Linked DNA regions of Lonchura striata. The protein of the gene in region 1 binds, or shares a complex with, the protein of each later gene. Links are inferred from orthologs where the notes say so. Each region holds a gene or a part of one and is shown on either strand. Other genes may lie near its edges. The genes, in order: NUP43 and NUP37.

Region 1 (15,609 bases):
AGTTGACAACGCAATCTTCCTGCAAGATCAAAGGCCTCTTTGCTGCCACAATATTTTACTGCCAATCCACTATTTCCCTGTTTTACACCCCTCAAAACATTTTGGCATGCATATGCAAAACAGAGAGGGGGAAATTAGCATCAATGCATGCTTTGAGATTACAATATTGAGCACTTCTGTTTTACTTTCCTCTTCCGATACAACTATCGCTGGATACTAACTACAACGGTTTTTAGCTTTGTCATCATTATTTGCAACGCCCTAAACAGTTTCCATGTGTTGAAAAACTGTCATTGTCTTCTGCAACAAAGAAACTGGTTTTGCCTTCAGGTTCTGAGCGTCCTAGACTATTCTGGTAATAATTGCTTTTTGGATGTATTTTGGAGTTTAACATTGGTTTTTACATCAGAAAGTTTTTCCCTGCTGTGTAAGAGAACAGTATTTCAGTAAAACAGTATTTCTAGCCCTTTCAGTTGCAAAATAAAACAAAACAAATGTATTGCAACACTTGTAACTAGAGAAGTTATTATCAATTTATTAAACAGAATTTTTACAACGAAACTACAATAATCAGTAGTTTTTACAGGGAAGCTGAAAGTCACTTCAGCATGTATTATTCTGCTGGATGCGATAGTTTTCAAAAGAAAATACTGAGAAAGACCACATGATCAGATGATCTAACATAAGCAGAGAAAAGGAGAAAACAACAAGAGTGATTCTCCTATGACACCAGAATAATGAGGAGGCCACACAGATGAACTTATCTGTGGTGTTGTAGTATCACTAAAGTAGGAGCCAACTGTCATAGTACGGGCTCCAGATCTACATCCGATTACGTCTAGGACACAGACTTGAGAAGAGGAAGGGAAAAGGCCAGAAGCATAGACGAGAGACACTAAGTATACTTAAGAGAGGTTAATTCAATTCTAATATGAAAAGTGGAAGCTCCGAATGCACAAGGTGTTGTCTCTCCGTCCTCTCAGGACCTGCAGACTTCAGGATGTACTGAAGTACATCGGCGAAGAAGCGCCCGCCCAACACCTTCCACGTTCAGCACGGGGACAGCACAAACCCTCGGCGAGCACAAGGGAGCGCCCAGTGCCGGGCAGCCACCGCAAAGCCCGGCTGTCACAGCACCAGTCCGCAACCCGACCGCTCCGCTCCGCTCCCCGCGGTGCCAGCCCACCCCTCCGAGCGGAGCCACTCGGGACCCCGCCGGGCAGGGGGGAGGGACTGCTGCCACACGCCCCTTTCACCCGACACAAACAGCCGCGGCCTCTCGCCGCGATTCCCAAACCCAGGCGGCTCCCGCTGCGCTGTTCAGCCCAGGCCTGAAGGACCGGAGGGCGCCCGCCGACGCCACCAGTCCCGCCGGCCGCAGCGAACCGGACGGACGAACGCCGATCCCGGTGCGTGCCGGAGTCACGGGCCCTCCGGCACTGCCGCCGCGGCCCCGCAGACGGAACGGGGCCGGGAGGGGGGGACGCGGCGAGCAGGGAACAGCCGCGGCCGCCGCACGGCGCTTCCCCTCCGGGACCGCCATCGGCGCCACCCCGCCCGCCGCACTGCCTCCCGCAACAACAGCCCGGCCCGCCCTACGACACCGGCCGCCGCCCGGACACACATCCCCCGCCCGGGCGCGCACGGACACACCCCCGGCCGGACACAGAGACACGCACACACGGACACGGACGGACGGACGATACGGGCACGCGCGCCCGGGCGCCGGTGTCGCTCCGTGTGACAGTTAGCGGCGGGTCGGGCGGGCGCCGCGGGAGCGCGCGGTCGCTAACGGTCACCGGGCGGCCGCTGACGGCCGCCCCACAGCCCGGGGGCCCCGCCCGCGCCCCCGCCCCGAGACTCACTGCGGAGGTTGTGGATGAGCTCGGAGTGGCTGGCGCCGCCCGACTTCCAGGCCATCGCTAGGCACACTCTGCGGAGCAGGTACAGAGCCGCCTTCAGCGCCGCGACTGCGCACAGCAGCTTCCCCAGGAAGGACACAACCTCCAGCGCCGACACAGGCGCCGCCTCCTCGCCGCCTCCTCCCGCGGCCGCCGCCGCTGCGGCTGCCGCGCGCTCGCCGAGGGGAGGGGCCACGCGCCCACCGCCCCGCGCGCCCGACATGCCCCGGCCGCCGCCGCCGCCGCTCCGCCGGCCGGCGCGGTGCCCCCCCGCGCATGCGCGCCCACCGCACCCAGGGGCGCGCGTGGGGAGATCCTCGCGCGCCGGGGCGGAGATGTACAGCGGCGGCTCCCGGCCGGCGCGTTTTGTTGCCGGGGCCCCGGATCGCGCGCTAGCGGCGAGACCCCAGTCCTGCCCTCGCCTCAGAAACGGCGGCGGGGTGGAACGGATCTGGGGGCGCGTGTACGTGAACTTAGGAGCTCTGTTAATTAATGAGATAGCGAAGCGGCACCTCGGCGCGCACGCACTTCTAGCCCTGCCCGGCCTTAGCCACTCCCGTGACACAGTCGGTACCCACCGGGTACCGCAGAAGGCGGAGTCGGGGCGGCCGAACCCAGCACGGTGACTGCGCCGCCAGCTCCGGGCTCCGACCCAGCGCGCGACCCGCAGCCCTTGCGACGGAACCAATTAGCGGCGTCTCCCGGCGCGGTGTTTTGCATGGGGCGCGCCTATTGGCCGCGGCGAGCCCGCGCGGGCCAGGCCTACGTGTTGGCGGCTGCCATTGGTCGGGTGGCGCGGGAGCTGCGTGCTCCGTGTGTGCCCACGGTGGGGACGGGGCAGCGCGGGTGCGACCTGCGCCCGGGAAACACGGCGGGAGTGGGAGCGGGCTGGAAGGATACGGAGAGTTGGCATAGCCGTACACTGGCTAAAGGCCGCGAAAGTATCGATGTTTCACAGCAGCATCTACCGGTGCAATACCGATGACACAGAAAAAAGTTACAAATTAAAATTCCTTTTAAGAGGTATCCAGGACAATAGCTCAGAATTTATTAAATGCCGATGAGCCCTTACTCTCTCCCAGCGTTAGGCCTATGATGAAGTAGCAATCTTAAGGGAAAAGTAGCACCTTCAGATCCTCCTGCAGCTATAACATAACGAGGGAAAACAGATAATTAATTTCCTACAGTCCTATAGTATTTCTCCCTCCTCTGAAGGGAGCCTTTATGATTAATTTTGTTGCCAATATTCATTTGCCACCTGTTATTTATACACGTTTCTACTGTTTAAAGGGAAAGCATATACCATCTTTGCAATTTTAGGAACCCACTGTCAGTGCTGTGACTTCTGCATTTGTGCTGCCTTCTGGTCCCTGCAAATGGGCTTCACACACCTAGGAATAGTTTTGCAGCACTTCCTTTCTTAATCAGGCGCACTGGCACAGGTATTTCATCCACATGGTACCAGACAGCAGGGTTTTCAGTTCTTGGCTTTTAAAACATGAGAACAGTGATACATAAGTATGGATAGGTTAGCCCTAACAATAGTATAAACACTGGGGAAAATAAGGTGTCATCTAGCAGATATTTCAAGTATTTCTGATACAAGGACACAGCCTAAAATACCACCATGGGAGATTACACAGATTGTATCTTCTGTGAGAGAGCCCATCTTGACTTTGAGTGTTTATTTTGCTCCAGCTCCACACAACACGTCTATTTCATGCAATCATTGCTGGTTCACGTGAAGAGGTGAAGGTGGGAATCTACTTCTCTACTTTGCAGTCAGTCCAGGACAAATCTGACAGTTGCTCAATGCATATACCAGACCCCATCCGTAGACTTCCCATCTGGTTCTTTTAATCCTGGAGCTAGATCTACTGCTTCATTCTGTGCTCTCCATCTAACTTCTCCTAAGCGTGATCTGGCAACTGCAGTCCAAGTGAGGCTCCCAGCCTGTCCCAGAATATAAAAGATCTCCCTGATACACCCAGTGGGCTGAGAGAGTGGGAAAGATGCCATGGAGTTAGAGGAATTCCCAAAGGGCAGCAAGTACAGAGAACAGACAGACATTGTAAAAGTACAGCATAGAAATACTTAATTGTTTTAAATGCAAAAGACATTTTCTATTGTCAGATGCAAGCAAACTGCATTGCTCTCACATAGAGAGGTTGCTGCCAAGAAAATAGCTGGCCCATGTTTAAAAGCATTCCAGGGATACTTACCCCTTGGGAGACCAAAACCACAGCAGAAACTATTTACATACAAGCTGATGCTGCTTACCAGGACCAGCTTGAATTAGGCTTAGCTTGTCACAGAGCACTGAGAGCAAGCCTGCATTTCTCTCGTAGGAGTTTGCAGTCCTGCCTGGTTGCTTTCTGACTGAGTGTTCATGTTCTTGACATTCAGAGAATGAAACTAAGTGTGGGCCTTCCTTAACAATATCTGGGGTGTCTTGGACGGATATCAGGCATGTGTGAAGGAAACAGCATTGGCTTGGCAGGCTTCCAGGAGCTCTAAGACAAGCCAAGTTGCCTCAAAGGGTCCTGGGAAACTAACATGCACCAACAGTGGCAGGATGCACCCATTTGTGCAGTAAACAAGTGAAGGTGTCCCTAACTCTTTCAGTTCCATAATCCCAGGCCATGTGTACATTTAAAAAACCTATTAGGAGCACATTCAACGAGACTAAACTAAAGGCAACATTTTTTACTAGTGTAAAATATGAGCAGAAATAATAATACAAAAAATTGTTTTCTGGCCATCACCATTTATGTGAAACCTATCCATTTGCTCTGATACTCAGGATTTCTGTATCCTGCTCCAACTCATGTGAGCACCTTGGTCCCTGGATGCTCACTGTCAACTGCAGGCACCTCCATTTTCCACATGCAGAGCCATTTCCCTAGACTCTCCAGGAAGCTGATGCGTGGACAGTCCTCTTAGAGAAAAGGCACAGGAATGCCAGCAGCCGGAATGCCAGCAGCCAGAATGCCACCATACAATTGTTCTGACATGAAGATCCCACTAAGTGTAAGCACATCATCTCGTCTTCCTTTGCTGCACATTCACCCACATCCCAATCCTCTCTAGCTGTACTTCCATACATTTATATATAAACCCCTTCAAACTACTATTTCTGTTTGATTCCTTCCCTCCCACCTCATAGGCCCATTAGATTTTTTTAAATTCTTTGAATTTAGAAAGAATTTGAAAATTGCTCATCACTGTCTGCTCCCATCTGCTTCTGCATACCACAAGCAGAAATTTCCTTGTGAAATGTTCCTACTGTACATTTCCGCAGTTATGTCCCAAACCCTACGCTAATTGGCTTTTACACCTACACTCCCTCCTCTTCTTGCCTCCATTCTGTTTTTTAACTTAATCACTCTCCTTCATCTCATTTCTTTTCCTATAAGCTCAAGCCAGTTTGGTGTGTACCTTCCTTTTGTATTACCATTTCAGAAGTTTACATTATTTTGAACTCCACATCCATGTTTTACCAGCTCTGCACTCAGAGATGAGGTGAGAAGGACTCAGTAACATCAGTGACTTTCCCCATTAAGGAGCAGCAGAACTGGTACCCCTTCATGAAGGAAGGTCAGCCTTCCAGATGAGACCTTCCAGATGATAGACCATCCCACAGCATCTAAGCAAGGCAAGCAGAGCAGGGCTGGGGACAGAAATGGTTTTGCCTTCAAGTGAAGTGACAAGTCAGGCCCCAAGTCAAGCTAGCCACCAAGTTTGGGCAACATGGCTGAGCACAGGCCCTCCTACAGCACAGCTCAGGCCAAGAGCAGGGTATCCCAGCCCAGATGGGAGCCCCAGCCACGGGCAAGGCTTATGACTGCACTCAGGGCTGGTCCCTCTGCTGTTACATCTGCTCTGCAGTACACTGCAGTGTAACTGTACACCTTCAAGAGAATAAACTGGGCACAGCTCCAGGACCTCTTAGCAGCTGTCAACATTGTTTTGGCATCTCCAAGAAACTTTCTTTCAATATTGTTCAATGATGATTGGAGAAAAGCAGATTATATGCAAATCTAGTTCAGAATTAGCTTTATCCTGCCCTAGTACAATCACTGATCTAGTAGGTGCCTTTGTCCTCAGGCCCCCTACGTTCTCTGAGACAGGCATGCTTTCGGTTTTCTTCCCTTTCACTCACACTCCCAGCTTTAGCCATATTGAAGGGTAATCCAGAGATGCACCTTGTTGTCTTAGCTGGCATGCTTGGACCAAAGGCTTAGAGTCATCTTAACCTAGATTTAACATCTTTCTTGAAAACTACAGAAATACTAGATGAGGCGTATTTTCTCTTGGTGCTTATTTGCACCTTTTATATGTTTATTTAAATCTGCCATTACACTGAAATGATATACTAACACAGTACACATCTTTCAGAGGGATCAAGCACAGAGTATTTAAAGGTTTACAAAGCAGACCTAAATCTGTCAGAGCTCTCACTTTCATCATATAAAATGCTGCCAACATTTTCTTTAAAAAATGTAGGACAGGGAAGAAAAACTGTGAATCTTCTTTTCCTCTATGTGAAAATAAGCCTTTATGTCCAACTAACTTCCCTTACTACTTCCCAAATGCTTCTGAACAAGCAATCCTGAGCAAAGAAAGATATCATCCAAAAGCACAAGGTAAAATAACACACAGAGAAATCACAAACTAACAAAAAAAAAAATATTTGCCTAATAAGACTTTTTAATAATTCCAAAGTGTTTTCTATTCAGCTTTTAGTTGTCTGGTCTGTAGCTATACTCTGAGGCTGCCTATTGATGTTTTTCGTGTTATAAAAATTAGCTGATAATACCCTTGGAGTCAAGAGTGACTTGCAGAACTGCTGTGAGCAGCTTAATAAGGGTGCCAGAAGCATTTGCTACTGTAGAACAGCAATGCTGCTGCCATGTGCAACAATTATTTTTTAAGGTATGTTTGCAGTATGGTAGACTCCTAGAGAATCCAGCTTTTGGCATATGTTCAGTGTTGGATTCTGCTGAATGTAATTATGGAAGAAAAAGTTAAATGAAGTTCAAAAGATGCATGAAGCACATAAAATATCAGTGGTTTGGTATCACACCTCAGGGATTACAAAACAGTATAGCAGACTTAATGAGGAACTCAAAAGTGCTGTATAGAATAAATCTGTATAGATGCCTTTAGCAGGAAAACTGCAATAGCACAATGGAAAATTTGTCTAAGCCACTGTTATGTCCATCTGACAGAACCTCTGAGACTGGGCAGCATCAGCTTTGGAAAAAAATGCAGCAGAAAACAAAGCTGTAAAAATCTGTGTGAGAAAGTCCCTTACTGGACTGCAGTGACTGGATCAATAGTCTCATCCTCTGAAATGACAACTAACTACACAATTGTGTCAGCCTTTAATTTTACAACTAACCTCTGAACTTTTTATTGCATAGTTATTTAGTTCTCAAGTGAAATACTAGAAAGAAAGTACATGTGTGCTCCTCTTTGATTTAACATAGCATCTACGACAAAAAAATATTCTGTTTATTTCTGTACAGGTAGGAATCTGTCAAAGCAATGACAGTATCACTCAGAAGTACAGTATCATGGTTTAACCCCAGCCAGCAAGTACCAGGCAAATATTTGGTCACATAAGCCCCACAAACCACCCCAGCCCACCCCAGGGAGTATGGGGAGGACAATTGGAATAAAACCAATGTAAAAAAAAAACATGGGTTGAGATAATAATAACAACTTATCTCTTAATAACTCTAATAATTCAAATCAAAAAAGATAAACAGCCTGTCCCTAGGCAGTAATTGGTCCCTCCTGGCCAATGTTCCCCAGTTTAATCAGTGCATGTGATATTCTATGGTATGGAATATCCCTCTCACCAGCGCGGGTCAGCTGTCCTGGCCATGCTCCCTCCTGGCTTCTCGTCCAAGTGCTCACCGGCAGAGCGAGGACTGAAAAGAACTTGATTTGCGGTAAGCGCCGCTCAGCAGCAACACATCAGTGTGATGTCACCATTATTCTCACATTAAATCGGATACATAGCGCTCTGGCTGCTACTCGGAAGAAAATTAACTCAGCTGAAAGCAGGACATACTTAAAAGCAGATCTTAAACCAGAAATGCTTAGTCGTTGTGTACGTCGCTCATGTTGAGAAAACAGGAGTCGGTGCATGTAAGGCACAGGTGACATACGGACACAACGCTCCGGCGGACGCGGCCCAGCCGAGCAGACAGGTAACACAACGGCACGGTCGCGTCATCCTCTGTTTCCTCCTCTCCGAACCCGACCCTCTACCGACACCGAGCCGATAGGCGCCGGTGCAGCTGCTCAGGGTCAGGCAGAGCGCAGCGCCGCCCCAGCCCCGTTACCGCGGGCAGCAGGCGCCGGGCCGCCCCCGCGCCGCTCCCGGCACGGCCCGAGCGCGCCCCCGCCTGTCCCTCCGCGCTCGCCGTCGCGCCGCAGCCAATCAGCGCGCGTGGCGCGGGGCGGGCGGGAGCGGGCGCGGGGCGGGCGCGGCCATGGAGGACGTGAGCGCCAAGTTCGTGTCGCAGAAGATCAGCCGGACGCGCTGGCGGCCCCTGCCCGCCGCCGCGCTCCAGCCCCCCGACCTCTTCGCCACCGGCTCCTGGGACAACGAGGTACCGCCCGGGCGGGCCCGAGGGCGCGGCGCCACCTCCCCGCCGGGCGCGGGGCGGGTGGCGGCGGCGCCCCACGCCGCCTCGGTTCCTTGCCCTCCGCCGCCTGGTGCGGGAGCGGGGCCGGAGCCGGCCGGGAGCACCGCCTGGCTCGGCAATCCCGCGCTCCGCTTGACCGTGCCGTGCTCGCGTCCCCAAGGGAGCTGTGGGGCCGCCCCGGCAGCGTTATCCCCCGGGGCAAGCGCTTCCCTCCGGCCGGCGGCGGCTTCCTCAGGAGCGGCGCGCAGCCCGCAGCCTATTGCTTTCCCTGGCTGAGGATTATTGCTCGGTACTTTCAAAAGCGTTTTCGAGTACATGTGGTATCGTTTCCGTTCAGGACAACAGGATCTCCATTTGGTCTGCTGGCGACCTTGGAAATGCGGGCCTCAACGGTGAATATCATGGAGAACCTCATTTGCTGTGTGACATCCAGCACAACGGCGATGTTATGGATATGCAGGTAAAATACCTGTGTTGAGTAGTTCCGTAGTTTTTAAGGGCTTGTCACTTAGGAGAAGTTGAGTGAAAGTGAACTGTCAAAATGCTGAGATTGGCCAGAAAATTTTGACAAAGAAAAAGGACAATGCCAATCAATATTGCTGTGTTTTTCGTGCGTTTGGTTTTTTCCCCCTCCACCTACCAATAATTTTGATTACTCTAAAATCAAAGTTGGCTAATAGTATTATTGTTTTCTCTCTCTAGTTTTTGGATCAAGAGAGAATCGTGGTTGCCTCATCAACAGGAACTGTAACTGTATTCCGTCATCATCAAAATAACCAGGTATGTGACATGCACTGGCTTTAAAATGCTATTCCCTGTAATACAGGTTACTTTGATCTTAGCATAAAAATAATCTGGCTACCAAAATGAATTTCTTTTAAAAGCGTGTTAAAAAAGCTTTGACTTGACACATACGAGGAAACAAAATAGTGTTTTACACATATGCACATAAACTAGATTCCAGAGTGAGACAGACTGGGGTATCTCCTTATCTGTATCTGTAACCAAACGCCCATTCATTGAAAGCATCGTTTGAGACATTAGAGGGTTTTGGGGCAGTAGATATTAATGGACTTCTACCTGCCTTATCAGAGTTTTTGAATTCTTGAAATAAATTACTTCTTTTTCAATTCTAACAAATTATGAATTAATTCTTATGAGTGTCATGTGAAGAAAGATATGTAAACTCTGTAGCCTTTTGCTTTGGTTATAAATCACTGAAAATAAATGCATAATTACATTTTTATATATGTTCAAATAACACAGTAAAGGTGGATGTCAGTTAATAATTTGGTGTGGTACCTAAAATAAACCAACTTCCTTGCAATCAAGATCTGAATCTGACCTTTTATTTTCTAAGGGCATCAGTTCTTTTCCCCTGTCATGGGAAATATTGAAGACATCAGCCTAGTGAAAGACATTTTACAGTCCATAGTGTTATTTCTAATTGCTAGATCATGTGAACACAGTGGTTCAGAGAAGAAATAATTAACATTTAATAAAAGCGTTGCGTGTTTAAGATGAAAATTTGGATCTCTTGATTTGTATTTATATAGGAGGCTCTCATTCCCATGAAATACTGTGGCTTTCCTGGAGCTTGTTTCTGGTTATATGAGTATTCTGGAAGATTTGTTCTATTGGGTTCATTATTTAATACCATAATTTCATGTGTGGTTAATACTTAGACATTATCTGCTGACCACCGGTGGGAGAAAGCCCATTATCATGTGGATCAAGACACAGCTTGTGGTGGAGCAGCCTGTACAGGAGTTGTCTGCAACAACCCAGAAATTGTCACTGTTGGAGAAGATGGTAGAATAAATCTCTTCAGGGCGGACCAAAAAGATGCAGTAAGAACTATAGGTGTGTGAAATACCAGGGTTTTTAAATTAGTCTAGTTTGGAGGGGGTTTGGTTTTCAGCTTATTATAACAAAATAAAAAATAAGTTGAATATTGATTTCAGTATTCCAGGTTGAACATGTTTGTTCCAGATTATTCCTGTATCCCTCCAGAATTCAAATACTTGAAGCATATTTCAGATGTATTTCTATATTCATCTAGGTATTTTTAAATTCATGGTTTTACAATAAAAGTTGGAGAGGTAAGAGAGAGAACATCTTAGAAGATGCTCTCAGGTTCTTCAGAATGGAGTTCTGTGGTGTAAGCAATCTGTTTTGCTGGTTCCCACTTCAATAACACCTTGACATTTCCCAGGCACTAAGCTGAATCCGTAACTTGAAGATAGAACTCTTGTACCTCATTCAATAGTTGCAAAGGAATACCTTGGAATTTCTGTTAGTGTTTAGTGTTATTGTTTTGTTATTGTTTGTTTAAGAGTACAGTACAAAGTGCATAGGTTTGTAGTCAGTTAAGGTAGGGAAAAAAACATCTATAAAGTTAGAGGTTTATGTAAAAATATTTTGGAGCAGTAAAGATGTATCATTGCTAAACCACTTAGTCTGTCATAAAACTTTAAATCCTCTAGAACCTCGGTATTCAGTAATCCAACATTTCTTTTTAATGATGTTTTAGTGAGTTTTTTCTTCCCCTCTGCTTTCATTTAAACAATAGGCAGAAGAGTCATTCCAATATCTGTAACCAGGCATCATTGTAATTTTTTTCCCAGTATCAGAAAATATTTCCATCTTATGCAGAAAGATAATAATTTGCCTATATTTTCCATATGGGCTTAAACAAAGAATTTTAAAATACTTGAGGTGAAAGTAGACTTAACAAAGTTACCCCATCATAATCAAGATGAAAGGTTTATATATAGTAACAGAAATAAAATACAAGAAAATAGTGTCACTTTTTCAGAAGGCCTCAAAAGTTTCACCTCAAAGCTGTGAATTGCTTGACATTGTAAATTACTGTGACAAAAAGAGGCACTGGAGAAAAGGATCTGAAAAAAAAGGGCCTTGCTATTTAGTTATTAACAAGCATAGCATAATTTGTGTTTAACTTGATACCACACTGGCACTTCAGGAAAGGTCTAAAAGTTGGTGAATTAACTGCTTCTGTATAAAACTGCTTAATGCTGTGAGCCAGTTACTGTTCCCTGTGTTTAGAACTCCATTATGAAAAGCTCCATAGCTACTTCCTGTCACTGGATGCTGGCCATGTGAAGAAAACTTTTGAGAACCATAAACTTGGTTGAATCAATTCCTCTTCTAGGAACTACAAAAAGGAATCTTACAAATCAACGAGTAGTTTTGTAATCACCAGAGCTAATTTAATACATCTTACAGATTTGTCTCAGTAGTGTTTCATATAGTAAGCAAGGAAGGGCTCCTTTTTCACAGGGTATTTGCAGATAGTAGAGGGTCTCTGACCCTGAAACTGCCGAGGTTATGCACGTGTTTAAGCAATTCTGTTCTGTTCTCTATTAAGAGCTACTTTGTTGCAATTAAATGGAGACTACCATTCCACAGCTTTACCTGTATGCTCTCCTCATCTCTTGCAGACAACGCAGACAGCAGTACACTCCATGCAGTGACTTTCCTTCGCACAACTGAGATCTTGACAGTAAACTCAATTGGACAGTTAAAAATATGGGACCTCAGACAGCAAAGAAATGAGCCATCTCAAATGTTTTCTTTGTAAGACCTCCTAAGTAATTTGTTTTACTTATTTACTGAAAAGTATGTGCTACTTCATATAATCTGATTCAAATCTTTCCTAATAGCTTCCTAACAATGGGATGGTAAATTACTGATTTTTTTTAAAGGATTTTAACTTCTTTGGTACTTAAATAAGCAAAAGGCAGACTGCTTGATGGCTGAACCACTGTGTGACTCAGCATTGTGCTTAGCAGGTCTGTTTTATGTTTTAACTTTTGAAGGACTATTATACCTGTGCACTTTTTTGAGAAAAAAAACTTTCAATCCTCAATCCCAAACTCTTTATCTGTTTATATATGCTTTTCTCCACAGGCCTAATGTAAGGTTTCTGGCATTTGGAATGTATTTGAATGGTAACTTTGTGCCTTACAAGGTACTGTGAGAAAAGAAAAAGGGCTAAATTTCAATTATGTTGTCTGTATAATAATCCCCATTACTGTGCCTAGATGGTGGTTTAGGTACCTGATTTTGTTAGTACCTGGTCTCCCTTTTTAACTTTTAGTATATGCTAAAACTATAAATATATCATGCATCAGAATAATATTATAGGTATATGTAGAGTATTATTTGCCTAAAAGGCGTTTCACTCATATAAAGGTGTCAGATGCTGTGTAGACGTTCCATAGGGTACGAAACCAGTTTGTAGCTTCGTGTTATCGCCATTCTCTGGTTTCCAGTAGATGTCATGTGCCTTCAGCCTGGGGTGGTCAGGTGTTACAGGAACTGAAGGTCCTGTTGATACTGGTACCTTGCTTGTCAATGCTCCTGATGCCAAATTAGCGATTAAGAAGGGGGAAATAGAAGCTAAACAAAAAATTCGTGTTTGGGTTATTTGGTTGTTTTGTTTTTTTCCTCTTTGCAGGGCAGGTGACAGAGTTCCACTGCACTGTGTGGATAGGCATCCCAATCAACAGCATATTGTAGCCACAGGGGGCCAGGATGGAATGCTGAGTATATGGGATATCAGGCAGGGTACTATGCCAGTTTCCCTGCTAAATGCTCATGAAGCAGAAAGTAAGTATCTGAAATGGAGGGGGGAGAAGAAGGTGGGATTTTAGAGAAGTTTCTGATTCCTGTAAAAATAAGTTGCTGCAACTGTGGTAGAAAACAATCACATACTTGCTATCTCATTGAATCATAGAATGGTCTGGGTTAGAAGGGACCTTAAAGCTCATTTACTTCCAACCTCCCTTGCCAAGGGTAGGGGCACCTTCCAGTTGACCAGGTTGCTCAGAGGCCCATCCAGCCTAGCCTTGAACATTTCCAGGGGTGAGGCATTCACAGCTTCTCTGGAAAACCTGATCCAGTGCCTTACAACCCACACAGTAAAGAATTTCTTACTAATAACCTAATCTAGACCTACTGTTAGTTTAAAGCCATTCCCCTTTGTCCTATGACTACATGCCCTTGTCCTTCGTGTGTTCTAGCCTAGCTTCTAGGAGGATTTGTTCCATGTTTTTCCCAGGACCAGAGCTGAGGCTGACAGGTTGGTAGTTCTCAGGGTCTTCCTTTCTATTTTTTTCAAACATGGGCTTGTGCTCATCTTTCCCTTTTTCCAGTCCCCTAGTATTTCACTGGACTCCCATAGCCTTTCAGACATGGAGAGTGGCTTGGCAACTACATCATCCAATTCCTTCACGATTCTGGGATGCATCTCATAGATTTATGTACATTCAGGTGCCTTAGGTGGGACCTGAGCTTCTTGTACAGTGAGAAGGATTTTTCTCCCCCAGACCCTGTCTTGCAGCCGACCCACTTGGGAGGTATGGGAAGAGAGATTGCCATTGAAGAAAGTTGTTGACTAGCTCAGCCTTGTCCCTGTCCAGTATTACCAGTTTTCTAGTATTGATTATTGGGGGTGTACAGCCTCTTGGACCTTCCTTTTCTGGGTGAATACCTGTAGAAGCCCTTCCTGTTGTTATTTTCATCCCTTGCCAGGTTCAGGTCCAGCTTCTTCTTGCCCTTCCTCACTCTGTATCGCTAACCTTCATCTCTATACCAGGATACCTACTGCTCCATGCTTTCATCTGGAAAATGTGGCTTCCTTCTCTGTATAGGAGACTGTTTTTATATAAAAGTGAACTCTAAACTAAAAGTAGACTTAGTAAGCAATTCTTTAATGAGCTGTTAGATGCATTTGATCAGAACGGCTGTGCTTCTAGCAGGGTAGTTGTATACACAACCATGGAAGCTAGTGCAGATAGAGTAAAGCAAAATGCAGATACTAACAAACTTGAAAAAATGAGGAAGAAGGGGAGACTCAGCATTCATTTGTTGTCTTCACAGTGCTGAAACAGCTCACTTTCCTGGTAACTATGTGAACAGGACAGCAATTAATTTTATGCAGAAAATCCTGTGATTTGATGCTACGTTTAAATTAAAGGAGTAAAAGTATTTCTTGATATTAAATTTTACTGACTTAAATGTCTTCTGCAGTTGTGGTATTTAGACACAAAATAATGTGTGTCCTGGGAAGGAATGCACGCTATGTGCGGATTTAAACTTAACAGCAGGAGGGAATATGACATGATAGTATGCAAAATGCCTGAATTCACATAAGACCTTAACAATTTTCACAGTACTAAAAATGCAACAAAATAGCATCTTTTTCTTTGTTTTTCTTCTCTACCACTTTACCCCTGCCAGCAGAGGGAAAACTGCAGTATATAACTTAGGATGGGGCCTTTCAATTAAAAATGAAAGGTTTTGATGGAGGCATGGGTTCTTGTAAATACATGTCTATATCATACTATCCAAATACTTTGATTGAAGTACTTGAGACTTCTTCTAAAGTGGTTCTGTTTGATATTTCCAGTGTGGGAAGTTCACTTCCATCCCTCTGACCCTGATCATTTATTCACGTGTTCTGAAGATGGATCTCTTTGGCACTGGGATACTTCCACAAATGTATCTGAAAAACCATCTTTCCTTCATCAAGGTAAGGATGTTTGAAGTCCATCTGCACAGAATTTGTCAGTTGGTAACATCATTACAGTCAGTGTTCTCACATGACCCAATTAATAACACAATCTTAATACAGAAAATTAAAAGCAGCTTTCTTTTCTTAGAAAGCAAGCTTAGATAAGCACTTTTCTTGGATAAACACTTGAGAAAAACTACTTATACGGCAAACAGTTGTGCAGGGCTTTTCATGGTCTGGTTTGGTTTTTTTTAATCTGCTACCCTCTGACCAATGTGTGAAGGGTAGACTATATTCACTTAAAAATCATCTGTATGTAGAAAAGACACAGAGACAGCCTGACTGACATTTTTGAGTCTCCAAGGGAGTTACACTAACTTAGAATACAAAAATAATTGATAGGTTAATGAGACAGTAGAATTATGAATTTACAATTCAGGGTAATAATTGGAATTTTCAATAAATGAAACATTTTTGATCCTTTTGCATGGTGGCAGGATTTTAA
Region 2 (15,083 bases), on another chromosome or scaffold:
CTTCTGATATATGTCTATTAAATCTAACATATTGCTTCTTGCTAAAAAGTCATGATAGGCTTTTTTCACATCAGTATAATTTTCAGGTTCTTTCAGGTTTTCATACAATCCCAGTTTGTCATGTAACAAATAGTTCCACATTTCCAACACATCACTAAGTGATACTGTGAAGTCTCCATGGTGCTAGCAGAATGAAAAAAAAAAAAAAGTTTCATATTCAGCATAGTTTTGAAAATAAATTTAAAAGAATCTGCAAATATATAAACACATATATTTGAAAATCTATTATAATTTTAATTGATCAGAAACAAAGTCTTACTTGTAGCTTTGCATTTACAGTTGAATTTTATTATATTTCTGTCAGTATTTGTTCCTGATCTTTAAAATATCAGGCCTGTATATTAAAGTTCACTCATGAGAAAATGCAGTGAATGTTGCAGGACTACTTCTTGCATAAAGTTATTTGCAGAAATAATTTGCAGCATTTACTTCCCAAAGGCAGTAAATATGGCTCCCTTACTTTGTTTCAAGCAGTAAATTGGGAAAACATATGTCAATTTAAAAAAGGAGATTTTCTTCCTTGTGTTAATAGTTATACTTTATCATAACATTGACAGTGTTGCTACACAGTTCTAATAAATACATTAAAGCCATGCACATCCCTCTGTTACTACTATAATTAACTATACAGTATAGACTACACTCTTCTGGTGAAAATGATCAGATTTTGGTCCATGCGCCCCTCTGCCTTCTCCTCCAACCACTTGCTCTTACCACCTTCTCTTTCACAACTTGTCCTCCTCATTTTTGGCCACACACTGCTCTTTAAACTGAGTACCAATCTCCAGTTCCTGCTGCTAAGCTTTTGTCCACACCAGTGGTATCTAAAGCACTCCCCAAGCTGTGGCAGCAAAAAAAGGTGTTTTTCACCATGTAACATGAGATAAGTGCCCTCTAACCAAGGAACAAGCCTTGCTTTGCACTGTCCATAATGGCAGATGGCTCCTGTCTACAGCAAAGGTTTAATTCTATTTCATAACATTTCAACATTAAGCAACTAAATTACTTATAAACACCATTAGCAACAGAACACATGAAATAAGAAAACATGAGAATTTCTAATTCTAATTGTTCCAGCCCAAATGATCCCTCCTTTGGGTTCTAACACATTTAGCACAATTTTCTCAATAGACCTCATTAAATACACAACTCCAAAATCCTGAAAGTCAACTATTTTGGTATTGTCTAGGTGAAAAATAAGGAGTAAAAATTAAAGAACACTCACACATATTAGCTTCAGAGCACTTTTCTGCCTTTTAATTTGTGCATGGGTTATGATAAACCAACACTATGAACTTACATATTATTCCACATATCACCAGAATGTTAAAACTGCGCGTGTGTTTTCTGAAAAGCACCTGATTTTCATTTCAGCCCCTCAAAAAATTAAACATATAATCTTATTATAACCCAATTTAAACAGATCAAAGCCACAGTAGATGGGGGGAAAAATGTTATTTTCTCACTTTATTTTGAATCAAAATCCTTCAGGAGTACCAAGTTAAAGTACAACTTCATAAGGTATCTAATAAATCAAAACCTTTCCTCACCAGATCAAGGGCCTGCAGAGATTAGCAAAGTTTATGTTAGTGCTGCAAAAATATTTTAAATCCAAATGCTGCATTCCAGATATTAACCTTTGTGACCCGACATTCACTGTGATGGCACATTCCATTACTTACACAGTCAATTTATCAAGTCTCTGGTTTTAAAATTAATTTTAAAAATACTGTGGTGTTTTGCAGTAAGCATTTGTCAATTGGCTAATAGCTTAAGGAAATCCAAAAAGTCCCATTCTTTCATTCCATTATAGGCAGATCAAGTGTTTCATCTCATAGGAATAGAACCAATAAGGTATTACAAAGTATCTTCACTTCCTGGTAATACAGCATATTAAGTTACCTGGGGACTCTGGTTTTAGAATGTCTGAAATCCAGTAGCAACATTTCATGCTAAAAGACATCATTTTTTACTGCTTTGTAGGTATTGTAAGTTTTCTAGTGCTAAGTACATAGCAAAACAATTTCTCTTTTGACAGCAAATTGTTTTAAAAAACAAAGTTGTGCCTTTCAGCACCAAAATGTTGGCTTCCACCTTCCCCAAACAACGGCTCATCAATCCTTTTAGGAATATGTGTGCAAAAGACTGCTGTGCTTAAGCACGACCTCTGGGTTGGGGTTATTCTTTCCAGGCATACTCCTAGACTGCAGCATTGTTTTCTGGCTTTGTCCTTGAGTTGGGCACTTCTGCACTCTTGTCACCTCTAGTCCTGCTCAGCCTTCATTGCTTCCCTACACAGCAGAGGAGCTCCCAAACTGTGGTACATTTGGGTAGGAAAAAGCAGCATTTTTAACAAGTTCCCTATCCTGGTGACAGTGCTGTGCAGACTGAGAAACTGATTCATGTGAGTACAAGCGCATGGACATCGGACAGTTGTGAGGTTGCAAAGTGCAGAAGCAGTGATGTTACAGGCTGAAAGCCCAGGCTCAGAGAATTGACAATATTATAAAATAATAATAAATAAAATGACAACGGCATGGGCATTGAACACTTTTGTTGTGGGTAAAGGGGAGTGTTGGGGGACAAAGTACCAGGGCCCAAGAGAGTAGATGCTCTGTGTAAGGATTACTAGAGAGCTGTTGTACACAGTGGACAGTAGAACAGTAGCTGCAACAGCAGAATCACAGAATAGGCAAAGCAAAAACTGTACTCTCCCAAACAACAAACCAGTACTTTCTAAAGCCAACCCTATCAATTATAGTGGTAATAAAAACAAGAGACTGAAAATTTAGAGCCCTGCTGGTTAGAAATTAATGAAACTATAAAAAAAGCCCACACATCCTTGCTTCCTCTTCTACCCCTCAAAACAGACACCTGTAATACTGTAGAGAGAAGGGTGGAAGAGAGAAGAAAAAGTTCTATTGATAAGCAAGGAAAGATGCATCAAGACTTAAGTGGCAAAAATTTTAACATTTTTAAAACAACCTCAGTTATTAAGCAAAACAAATACATGCAACTAACTTAAAGTTACAATTTGATTACACAGGGAAAGACAGTAGAACAGCCTCAATATATAATTTCCTTTAAAAAAAGTATCCAGGGAAATACTTACTACTCCAAAGGCTTTTCTAAAGAAGAGCCTGTCCCTTGTAGAGAAGGCTACTCAGCACTGGTGAGACCACATGTAAGTACTGTGTCCAGTTCTGGGCTCTTCAGTACAAGGGAGACTCAGACACACTGGAGAGAAGTCCAAGGAAGTTAACGTATCACCCACAGACATCATGAAGGGACAGGAGCACCTCACATATGAGGAAAGGCTGAGAAAGCTGTGGCTGTTTATTCTGGAGAAAAGAATGCCCAGGGAAGATCTCAAAGCATACAAATATCTGAAGGGAGGATGCAAAGAGGATGAAGGCAGGAGCCTTCCTAAGGTGCCCAGTGGCAGGAGCAGGGGCAATGGGCAAAAACTGAAACACACACAGAAGGTTCCCTCTGAACATCGGGAAACACCTTTTTACTCTGAGGATGCCTGAGTACTGGCACACATTGTCCAGGGAGGCTATGGAGTCTCCAACCTCAGAGACAACTTGAAAGACACCTGTACAGGTGCCTTTGAGGGAGGCTGGATAAGATGACCTCCAGAGTTCCCTTCCAACTTCAACCCTTCTGTGATTCTGTGAAAAATTAATCATGCTGAAGGACAGCCAAGACAATCTCACTTAGTAGCATCATTACAACATGTTACAAGCAGCACATCACATGAAATTGCTACAAAGTTAGTCAGGAGTATCTCATTACCAAAAGGGAGACAGAACAGTTTAAGGGAGTAACACTGTAAAACTCCACTTTTTTCTTCATTTGCCAACTTGGAAACAGGACAATTTGGGAAATCATTTCAAGAAATAAAGATACTAAACAGAACATAATATTCTCCAGTCGGCATCCAAATGCACTTGCGGAAGCACAGAACAGAAATAAACCAAACATTTTGTATATTTCTGCTTTTATATAAAATCAGAAATATACAAAAACAAATTTCTAAAGGGAAGATAATTTCTAAAATCAACAAAGAAGCAGTTTCTCTTCCAGTATCAAAGTTCTCATTCTAGAAAAGATTTCCAACACATTTAAGTCTGACAATTTAAACTCATAGATTCTGGAAAAATAATTGTTTTATACACTTCAGTTTCCCATCCCACTAGCTAAAACAGCCATAGTCTGAAAATGACAGGTGATTATCTGACCAAAAACTCATCTTCTACCCCTGATGATCCACAGGTACAAACAGTCAACTTAAAGCAATTACCCTCAGCTGAACTTCATCTTGAAAACTTTTCTTATTATTTCAAACCCTGAGGAAGAATCTTCTTGAAAATGTTTCTAGATTTTTAGATCTATACTAATCAATCTAGGTGAAAGGTATTTACTTCTATTCAGAGACCTTATGCCACATGGCTACAACCCAAAGTATTTTCAGAGGGATTCAGACCACAGATTTGCTTTTTTTTTTCTTTCATCCCTACTGTTGGATCAGGGATTATCACACTTTTTTCTATCCTTATTATGGTGAAATTTAAGATTAACAGATTATGAAGCTTTTAAACTTTCCTAGAGTTCTCCTAAAAGCTTTGTTATTTTTCATTTCCACTGTGGATACAGGTACCAATTAAAACACCAAATCCATTAAAACTGTCCAAACTCCTAAATGAAGAGAAGTGTATTTTGGTTATTTGTGATAGGTTGGATGTGTTGGGTTTATCCCAATACAGCCTGTTAATGAATTATTTTTATTGCAGTAATTGACTTTACTAAAATAGATTTCCATTCTACAGGTGCTAACAATTCAAATTATTGTATTTAAATCAGAAACCTAACAAGTGACATGTCTACAAATGTAATACTCTGCATCTTAGTTTGAAGTTTCAGTACTGAACAAAATAAACCAGACAGATTCTGTTTTAAGACTGTGAACTTGAAAATGGATACCATCTGAAGAAATTGTGCTTCAGAGGCAGCACATGCAAGTCCTAAAATAATTTTAATCCACATATACAAACCAAGGTTTGTCTTGTTAGACCAACTAGAAAAAACAAATCAGGTTTTTGAAAACTTGTTCTTTCTTCAGATCTGAAGAAGCTAAACATTTCAAAATTAAATTAGTTGAAAATAACTGCTATAATTTTTGTTAGACCATTTCTGAAAGAAGAGATATTTATGGAAGAGAGGAATATTATCTGGAAGAGGAAAAAAAGGATAAAGTAGAATAAACTAATTACCTCTAGTGGAAGAAAAAACTTATTGCAAGGAAAACAGGGAGCAATGAACCATAACCTTTTCATGTCTGTAAATTTTGGCATACAGCGGAACAACATATTTTAGTTCCCAGAGCTGGCTTTGGAAAACTGTTTGCAGTTTTCCCTTGAGAATCACAACGAACATGACAAACAGCTGTCACCTCCATATGTAGTTTTGCATTAATGTCTTTTATCAGTTTTCCAAGAGTTACTTTTGATGCATGCTGATGTTCTCATTTCAGCTTGCATAGGTATTGTGAGGACACCAGGCTCCTGGCTGGAATATATTACATTCCAAAAAGTACCAATGTAGTATCTTGGCATTCTTGTACCCTTACTGTAACATATCTAACAGTGGGGGATGACTTAACCAGTTTTATACTTAATGCTTAGCAAGAGATATTCCTAGTCTGCGTATTTTAGACTACAAAATCTTTTTCTGATGCACAAACTGAAGGTTTTCTGTTTGTTTGGATTTTTTAATTGGCTTACGGATTTCACTTTGATGTGGTTCTGCTGTTTCTGGTATGTTTGTTGATTTGGTACATTTGTTTTGGTTTTCTTACACTAAAGCTTTGTACTACATGTTTGACTTACTATGCAACACTTGAGTAAGTCTTCCAAAACCAGTCAGTATTGTTTTGATCAATAATTAGGTTAGTAAACCTAAAAAAGTATCTTAAACTATTAAAACAAGTATTGTGATAGCTCTCCTTAGATGAGAGGCAAAGGCCTGATTGTATATTGCAACTGTTTCTGGTATGTTTCAGACATCCTCCACCTCTGACGAGCCATAGGCTACTTTCAGAGACACTTTAGGGTTATTCCTCCTTTTCAACATTTGACAGACACTTCATGTGCACACACAAAGAAAGCCGTAAAATTCCTCCTGGTACTGGCTACACACTCACAACTTACAGGTACACATAGGTCTCCACCTGACCAATGTCAGGAAAAGCAGCAGCCAAGAACGGTCTGTGGCAAGTACAACTTGCACAAACTATACCAAATCAGTTTTGTAATCATGTTCGTCACATGCCATTCAGAAATCTTCTTGGGAGCACTCAGAAAAACAATGCACCCCAAATGCCATAGTTCTCTTACCCTGATCTATAGCACAAAAGAAACATTGGATGGAAATAAACAGAAGTGACACAGTCAGTAGAAATACACTATTGTTTAAAGGCTGGAGCTCAAATATACACATAAAAGCACTTCCATCCTCCCATCTGTCTTGCAGGTCCTTTTTGTAAACCCCACTTCAATAGTGCTCTTAAATATTCATTTTCTTGCCTTGCTGCATCTGGCCCTCAGACATACCTTGTTTTAACAAACAGGAAGGAAACAACAACAAAGTAAATTCAGGTTGGTGCTTAAGCACAAAGTGCAGCCAGGGAACCAAGTCTGAGGTGTGCCAAGTACCAAGAACACTAACCTGTTTATTGACTTCAGCCATGGACAGTTGTAACGCCATCAACATGCAGTCTGCTCCACATACAGTAGTTCTTTCAGAGTTGGAAAATAAAGGCCATTGTCTTCTGAAACACTTGATCAAGTGTAAAATTTTTTGCTGAAAAGTAACCATTGTCCAGACTAGACAATAGATATAATCAAGTGAAAAACAATTATGGCCAGAGACATATGCAGGTCTTCACCTCCCAAAAAGCTGTGCAAATCCTGTTGTATCTTCTTAAAGACCAAGTTCCTAGAATAAACTCCTCCAGCTAAACCAGACTTGCCTCACTATGACAGAGCAAGTCTGAAAGTAAGGGGTGTAAGTATGTCACACCTTTAAAGTCCTTATTTTCTTTGCATATCATGCCAACATAAAGGAATGCTATCACAGATATCACAGTATTTGTCTCCAAAAGCAGCCTCAGTGCATCTTCAGAACTTTCTGCATTCACTATACATTCAGGTGAGTGTCTATGAGGACGTTTTAATCCTGGAAAAAGAGATGTTTAATATTTCTAAGAGTTACTAACACAGACAACTCTAAACACTTTTGTTACCGATACGGTCTTTTCCCTTTTTTTTTTTTTAAGTTTGATTTTTTTACTTCCATAAGGCATTATCTTCTCTGGCGATAATTGGGCTACTTCATGCTTTGGTCTCTCTCACCTTCTTGCATTTGTCAAGACAAGGTACATGACAATGTGGTACAAACTTGCCTTTAAACTTGTTCTTTTCTGAAACAAAGTTCCCTAACACCGCCAGGACAGTACAGGAGCAATACCTATCCCATTTACCTCCAGAAAACAAAACTCAACCTTCGACCTTTTCCCATACAGCCGAAGCAGAGACCACAGCGGGTTCGGTTTTCGGTTGCTGGCACGACTGCAAAAAACGAGGAAGTGTGGGCAAGGGGCAGGGAGGAAACGGGCACGACTGCAGCAGCAACTTCTCACTGTCCAAAACGTGTGGGCAAGGGGCAGGGAGGAAACAGGCACGACTGCAGCAGCAACTTCTCACTGTCCAAAACGTTTGAAGGGGACAACGTCGCATGGGGGGGGGTCACAGCGGATGAAACACGCGCGCTGCAAGTCAGCGCTGGGCAGAGTAAAAGCTCTCCGGAGGCTTCTCTTTCTCCCCACCCTACGAGCTTTCCAGGGGACCATACCTGTCGCTCCCAGCGAAACAGCCCGAACAACCCCTGCGGAGCCGCCCCTAACACCCAGAAGCCGGGATCGGCATCACCATCGCGGGCGCCGCGGTGCCCCGAGCGCGGTGCCGGCGCTGCCGCTGCGGCGGGGCCGGGCCGGGGCCGCGCCGCGTTCAAATCCGCCGCGCGGCCCAATGGGCGCGGGGCCGCTGCCCCGGAAGCAGCCGCGCCGCTGCCGCCGCCCGCGGCCGGCGCTGCTGGGAACGGCCGGGCCCGGCGGGAGCGGCGGCCGGCGTGCCGAGGTGCGTGTGAAGCGGGGCTGGGCCACCCCCGGCCCGGGGAGCTCGGGCAGCCTGGCTGGGGAGCAGCAGCTGGGCCCCGAAGGGAAAAGGAGGGAGGGCAAAGGATGCGCGTGGATGGGGGAGGTGACGCGCACCCACGCGGTCTGGTTGCCTTAGTCGTGCTTTCTAAAGAAATGAAGGTAATCTTACTCTTGGTGTTTTCAAGCTGGTCTGGCAGCCCATAATTCAGGCTGAGAAAGTTGGGGTTGTTCAGCCTGGAGAGGAGGAACTTGAGTGGAGATCTCAAAGCACCTTCCAGCATCTCAAGTGGCTCTACAGGAAAGAGGAGAGGGACTGTAGAGATAGGGCGAGAAGCAATGGTTACTTTCTTTGGTTGAGAGAGGGGAAACTTCAGTTACATTTGGGGAAGGCATACTTTACGGTGAGAATGGTTAGCCACTGTCCCAATCCTGGCAGTGTTCAAGTGCTGGATGAGGCATTAACAGCCTTGTCTAGTGGAAGGTATCCCTGCCCAAGGCAGCGGGGTTTAGGACTACATGATATTAAAGGTCTGTTCTAAACCCTTAACACTCTAAGATTTTATAAAGGCTTGTGTTCATGGGAAGCCTTGAAGGAAAAAAACTTTTGATAGGATTAAAATTTGCATTTGGCTTTAGTAGCAAAGCTATGCAAGTTATATGGCTAAAGTATTTATGGTAATATAGTGGACTGTTGTATGAATTAATACACAAACACATAACTACGGAGAGCCTCTCTGTGTTTGAGTGATGCCTCTGTCAGACCTGGCTGGCTCCCAAGCTAAACATTCGGGCTTGAATGCTGAGACCTTCAGGTCATTTACACACCAAAATCTGTCAAAGGTCTGAGATTTCAAGCTGATTTTCCACGTGGTGTGTAGTTAAAGGTCTGATTTCCCAAAAAGACATAAGCTTATCTCAAATCTGTACTGGGACTACAAGGAATTGATTCTGAAATCAACTGTGTGTCTTGGCCTCTTGTGTTCTAGTACAGAAACCTGATTTTCATGAAAACTGGTTGAATGTGCGACAGAGTTTTCATTTACAGTTTTGCAACCTTGGTTAACTCAGTTTTTCGTTAGACTCACAGTCCATAAAGAGGTAGACAAGTAAAGAGAATTTGAAGGTAGTGATGTGTTGTTTCTTTTCATTTGGTTGAAAATGTTAAAATGCTGTTCGCGACTCTTCTGGAGTATGTGCAGTTACTTGGTTTTTTGTATTGGTGTTGGGTTGCCAAGGGTAGTACAAGATCTGCAGTTATTGCTGAAGTCAGAAAGAGACAGTTTTGAATGTATGTTAGTTTAGTAAATATTTTGATTTCTGAAACAAACAGGCTACATCTAATAAACTTAAGTGCAGCTTTTGTGTTCTTGAACATGTTACAGAAATTTTTATTTACTCTGCCACAAATACTTTGCGGTTTTTATTCATGCAATGAGTCATCTATGCTTTTTTAAATTTTTGTGTAGGAATGTGGATTTTTGTCCTGAAGAAGACACAGTTTCCGTGATACCTTGACTTAGTTCACTGAAAATGAAGCAAGATTCTACTAGAAACATTTCTTACACTGTGGATTGCGAGGATTATGTGCACGTGGTAAAATTCAATCCATTTGACAGTGGAGATCCATGTTCCCTCATTGCTTATGGTGGCAACAATTATGTGGTTGTTGGGACTTGCAGATTTCAGGTTAGTCTGTATTATACTGTTGTTTTTGTTCGATGCCCCTGAAACTGACTTTGCCAGCACCTCTACTGCAGAAAGACTGGTCACTTTCCTGTTTCCTGTTTCCTCCTCTTGCTGGGGTAAACAAGGGAGAATTTTACTTGTTTAATACACTAACAAGTCTAGGATACTTGTTTTTCAGGAAAATAGAAATATATATATATATATATATATATATATATATATGTATGTAAAATACACACTGATATATCTGCACTAATTTTATAGATATTTCTTTCTGGGGATGAACTGTAGAAATACTTACCTAATTTTTTTTTTCTCACAGTTGTTTTTACTGGATCTCCCTTACAGACTGTAACAGTCTGTAAAGTAAAACATCTTACCTTTAAGTTATTTACAGTTATATTGTGAAAAATTTTTAAATGGAAAATACTGAGTATTGAATATATTTATACTGGATAAAATGTTTTTCATTAGATGAGTTTTTTGCCTAGATGCTTGACAATCAATTGAAGACAATTGCTTGGAATTTCGAAGCTTTTTTCCTTCATCTTGCTTCTTTATTACACAATATTATTTTTGTAATTTGTCTATTATGATTAATAGTGTAGCTGATATCTTTATTATTATTATTATTATTATTATTATTATTATTCCCCATGGTCTTACTGTTGTAAATTTTCTGAAGAGCTAACCACAAAAACATACTGATATTTGTGTTCCTCTCTACCTTGTTTCTGATGTAGGCCTTGGAAAGGAAGTAATTCAAATTTTATAACCACTGACACAAGGTGTTTTTTCTATAATTTTCATATCCTCCCCTTCCACATGTGGAGTCAATGACCATGTCACAGTAGGAGAGAAAAATGTTGTTCTTTCTTCCTGTTGAGAAGCATTGAAAAACTGTGGGTAATTTCATGCATCCTCAGCTGGGTTCTGCTTGGCCTCTACATTATGTAGAGGGCATACAGAGAGGTTCTTTATCTTAAAACAGAATTATGACATAGAGAAAATTGTGTAGGAATATCTTTTGAGGTGCTCCATTGGATGTACTGAAAACTTTTAAAAGCGTTTTAGAGGTCAACTTATTGATGGAGTCCATAATCCCAACTCCTGTTTTATTTTTCCTGTTATCTGGTGTTCATATCAATGGTAAGAATAAGCAAGCTTGTAATTAGGATTAGATGACAGAGAGTACCTTTTTGTCTTCTGCTGTTTCAAGAGCAATGTTCTGGAAGTGACAGAATTTTCTATGGTGTAAAAACAGTTCAGAGAGAGGACAGATTAAATTACATGCTTGCTTTTGTTCCCATTGCTTCTTCTCACTGCAATGTATGGTAAATTGCCATTTTTAAGTGGCCTTAGTTGTATCTGTGAAGATACTAGTACAGAGAATGAGCTCAGCATCTTCATAGTTTAATTCTGATTTTCCTGCTCTTCATTGATGTCTGGCTTGAGACTGCAATCATTTAATATATTTCTAAGTACTTACATAAAGCATTAATTTGAAATATTTATCTTCCAGATTTTATTTTTGAAGGTGTTAAGATCTGAAAAGATTGCAATATGTATAATTTTGAAAGCCCTTTCATTTCGTAGCAATCTGATTTGTTAGAAGTCACCAAGACCTTGTTGTGAATCAGCTAACTGCAATATTTCTATAGGAGGAGGATGCAGAAGTGGAAGGCATGCAATATAAGACACTAAGAACATTTCACCATGGAATCAGAGTTGATGCCATAGCATGGAGTCCTGAAACTAGACTTGATGCTATACCTCCTCAGATAAGGTACTTAACAATAAACAACTACAGTGAATCTTTGTCTCTTACCTGTTTTCCCTAAGTCGTTAATAATGGATTGTTCAAAGTTTGAGTGAAATCTAACTCCTTAGAAATCACTGATGAAGTCTCTGAAATCTTCAGTAGAGTATTTATTCTTACAGTCTTTTTTTGTTCATTTGCTTGTTTTTTGTTCTCCCTGTGCCCCTTGATCCTCTCCCCACTGAACAAGCTGTAAATAATATTTTTTTCATTATTTTTATGGACCCCAGACATAAAAGTTTCTTTCCTTGTACATCTGTGATGAGCCATTTATTTTAAAAGCTTTAGTAAATGTGAGATCGTTTGAATGGCCCCTTTCTAAAGCTATTTGCACTGATTTGCATAATATGTGCTATGTTTCAATGTAGGTTAGATACTATTTATGAGAGCTTTTGAGGTGTAAATCTAGAAAATCTAGAAAGATGGTTAGCTATTAAATGTGAACTTCTGAATTAAAATGTACTCAGTAATTTGATTCTTCAGAATTACCATAGTTGCTTACGACTCCGTTTTCATACAGTCTTTTGGGTTAAAACATGTTGAATAGAATTTGGTTTATGAACTTTATATTTCAGTATTTTGAAACACTGATAATTAGGGCTATTTTTTGTGCCCTACCACTTAACTTCTTCAAAGGAAAGTTTCAACAGCATTTATGAGAGTTATTTCAGGTAATTAGTAATTGATCTAGATTTAGCTTTGTAAAAATGCCTGAATAAGTATTCTTGGCACTTGATACACACTATTCTACAGATAAACTCCAATTATAACTCTGCTTGTGGCCAAAGCAGAAAAGTTAAGATAGATGCTTTTGGGTTTTTTTTTCAAAATCTGTTTCTTCTTTGAGTCTCACTTTGCCTTTTTAAGATGAAAGAAAACTGATTAAAAGGCAACTATTGCAATGTTGATTGACTGAAGGGCCTTTTTTTTTAATCTGTTGAGTGTAGGTTTTGTACTGCAGCTTCTGATAGGAAGTTAAGGCTGTTTACTTCAGACCTGCAGGACAAGAATGAATTTAAGGTAAGGGCATCTAATGTGATTTTTAAAAGATTATTTGATTTTTAGTGAAGTCTAATCTTTAATTGTCTTTCTGCTCCACTTGTGACAGAGCCTAGGTTCATCATCTCTAGTGATAATAATTGTATTGTAAATACCTTTCTGTCTTTAAAGTGGGAATAACTGTAATTATCACCTACATGATGTTCTGATTTCCTTCAAAATTCTTCCTTTGAAACAATGTTCCAATCCAGGTACTGCTGTTAATTAAATGTTTGTGCTATCTAGTATAAAGTTTTTTTGGTGAGGTCCTAGCTAACAATAAGCAAAGCTAATTAATTTAAAAAAAAATGGGAGAGAGTATTCCTTGGCTTTTATTGCTTTAGAAGATGATAATGCCTCTTTGATGAGAGTGGATTATTGGGTATAAAGGAGAAAAAATAGACTTTTATTTTTGATGTGTTAATTTATGTTAGTAAGACAATGAGATTTGTCATACAGAAATTAAGTGAATTGTGGATGTCAGTTATGTGGCCGTACTGCTAATAGAATGAATAAAGGCAGGGCATAAGAAGTAAAGATGGATACTACTAAATGTCTTGAAAGAAAATGCTCTTTGTGTTGCTTCATGCATGCACATACTTTTAATTTACTTCTTTTAGTGTTGGTCATACATGACTTTGCCACTGAGCAGTGGCATAACTGACATAGTGAGCTGGGTGGGATTTCTGACAAAATAGTTCTAAAGGTTCTTTATGCTCTTTGCTTCTGAGTTGATATCTGTCATTCCATATTAAAGTTGTCTGTTTGTGTAATATATACAGTTTTGTGAATTTCAGACAACAAGCTGAAAGCTTGTTAAGCTGTGAATTAAATCTTTTAACTTAGCAGAATGTAAAGTTTCTTTAATATTTAGCTAATGGATTGATAATAAGTTGAAATAATGAAACAATGGGATAAACTTGGTACTACAGACTCTAGCGAGCTAAATTCAATATCTGAGTTCTAATTTTTTAGTTTATTTTGGTTTAATTAGGCTACAAGAAATAGTGTGGTTAGCAGCAGGAAGGAAGTGTTTGTCTCTCTGTACTTGGCACCTTGAATCCTCTCTTCAGTTTTGTGCCACTCAGAACAAGGAAGACATTGAGGTGCTGGAGCATGTCCAGAGAAGCAGTGGAACTGGTGAGGGTTCTGGAGTGAATGTCCTATGAAGGAAAGTCCAGCTGAGGGAAGTGGAGTTGTTCAGCCCGGAGAAAAGAAGGCTTGGGAGGGACCTTATCACTCTCTACAACCACCTGAAAGGAGGCTGTAGATGGTGGGGGTCAGTCTCCCAGCCAACAAGTGATAGGACCAGAAGAAATGCCTCCAAGTCATGCCAGAGGAGGTTCAGATTGGATATTAAGAAAAAATTCTTCTGTAAAAGGGTGGTCTAGCATTGGAACACGCTGCCCAGGGAAGCAGTGTGATCACTGTGTTCACCTTACAGATGTGGTGCTTAGGGACAGACCTGGCAGTGTTAAATTCGTGTTTGGACGCAGTGATCTCGGAGGTCTTTTCCAGCCTTAATGATTCTATGATTGTTTGGTGCATATGTAATACAAATGAGAAGTGTTGGCTTGAATTCAGCAGTAAAGCTATTAGCTTTGTTTATGCCAGGTCCACCACTGAAATTAGCTGTCCAAGAACTTTATTAAGGATGTACTCTGGCTGGGGAAAAGGTAAAAATACATACTGTTACTGGGTCAGGCTTGTTAATGTTAAAAATAATGAGAATATAGCTAAGAATACATGTTTTTACCTATTGGTGAGAACTCATTAACAGAAAGAATGTGACTAGTGTGTTTATGTCAGTAAAAGCTGTCTTTGAGACTGTCTTCTGGGGTTTTGTGATATAAAGTGTGGAAAACCCTTTCTGGCAATCAGCTAATTTCTTATATCTGGACAATCATTATACTCCAGATTTCTTGTCAAGAAAAGTAACACCTAACTCTGATCTACAGCACATGCAAAATCCCAGATGTTCACAAATTCTGGGTGAGCTATGCTGATCTGGCTTTCAATAAAGTTTGATACAGTGGCTTCTTATTAACAGTTAACTGATACCTCAGAAAACCAATTTCATAAACCTGAGGCTGAACTCACGATGAACATGTGGAAAATTTTGGTCCATTATACGGCGCACACTTGACACATGGGATCTTCAGGAGAGGTCCAGAACATGAAAACAAAGCTGAAGGAAGTATGTGACTATGTTCAGAATGTAATCTCTGAACATTTTGTCTTTTATAGTAAACAATTAGTAAG

What was found.
Region 2: NUP43 (region 1) and NUP37 share a complex: the UniProt entries of both Homo sapiens proteins name them as parts of the nup107-160 subcomplex of the nuclear pore complex. The link is inferred for Lonchura striata from reciprocal best matches to the Homo sapiens genes NUP43 and NUP37.

Annotation. Positions count from the first base shown.
Region 1 is NC_134605.1:57,515,290-57,530,898, forward strand, and holds the start of NUP43 (nucleoporin Nup43), read left to right. Parts: upstream 1-8,367; 5' UTR 8,368-8,407; coding exon 8,408-8,527; intron 8,528-8,900; coding exon 8,901-9,023; intron 9,024-9,265; coding exon 9,266-9,343; intron 9,344-10,248; coding exon 10,249-10,426; intron 10,427-12,027; coding exon 12,028-12,163; intron 12,164-13,046; coding exon 13,047-13,198; intron 13,199-14,999; coding exon 15,000-15,122; intron 15,123-15,609. Other genes in the region: PCMT1 (protein-L-isoaspartate(D-aspartate) O-methyltransferase), read right to left, coding at 1,866-2,124. UniProt on the Homo sapiens protein: Component of the Nup107-160 subcomplex of the nuclear pore complex (NPC). The Nup107-160 subcomplex is required for the assembly of a functional NPC.
Region 2 is NC_134607.1:19,254,198-19,269,280, reverse strand, and holds the start of NUP37 (nucleoporin Nup37), read left to right. Parts: upstream 1-8,186; 5' UTR 8,187-8,258; intron 8,259-8,294; exon of another isoform or gene 8,295-8,437; intron 8,438-9,744; 5' UTR 9,745-9,808; coding exon 9,809-9,964; intron 9,965-11,625; coding exon 11,626-11,750; intron 11,751-12,730; coding exon 12,731-12,803; intron 12,804-15,083. Other genes in the region: PARPBP (PCNA-interacting partner), read right to left, coding at 1-183, 6,790-6,939. UniProt on the Homo sapiens protein: Component of the Nup107-160 subcomplex of the nuclear pore complex (NPC). The Nup107-160 subcomplex is required for the assembly of a functional NPC.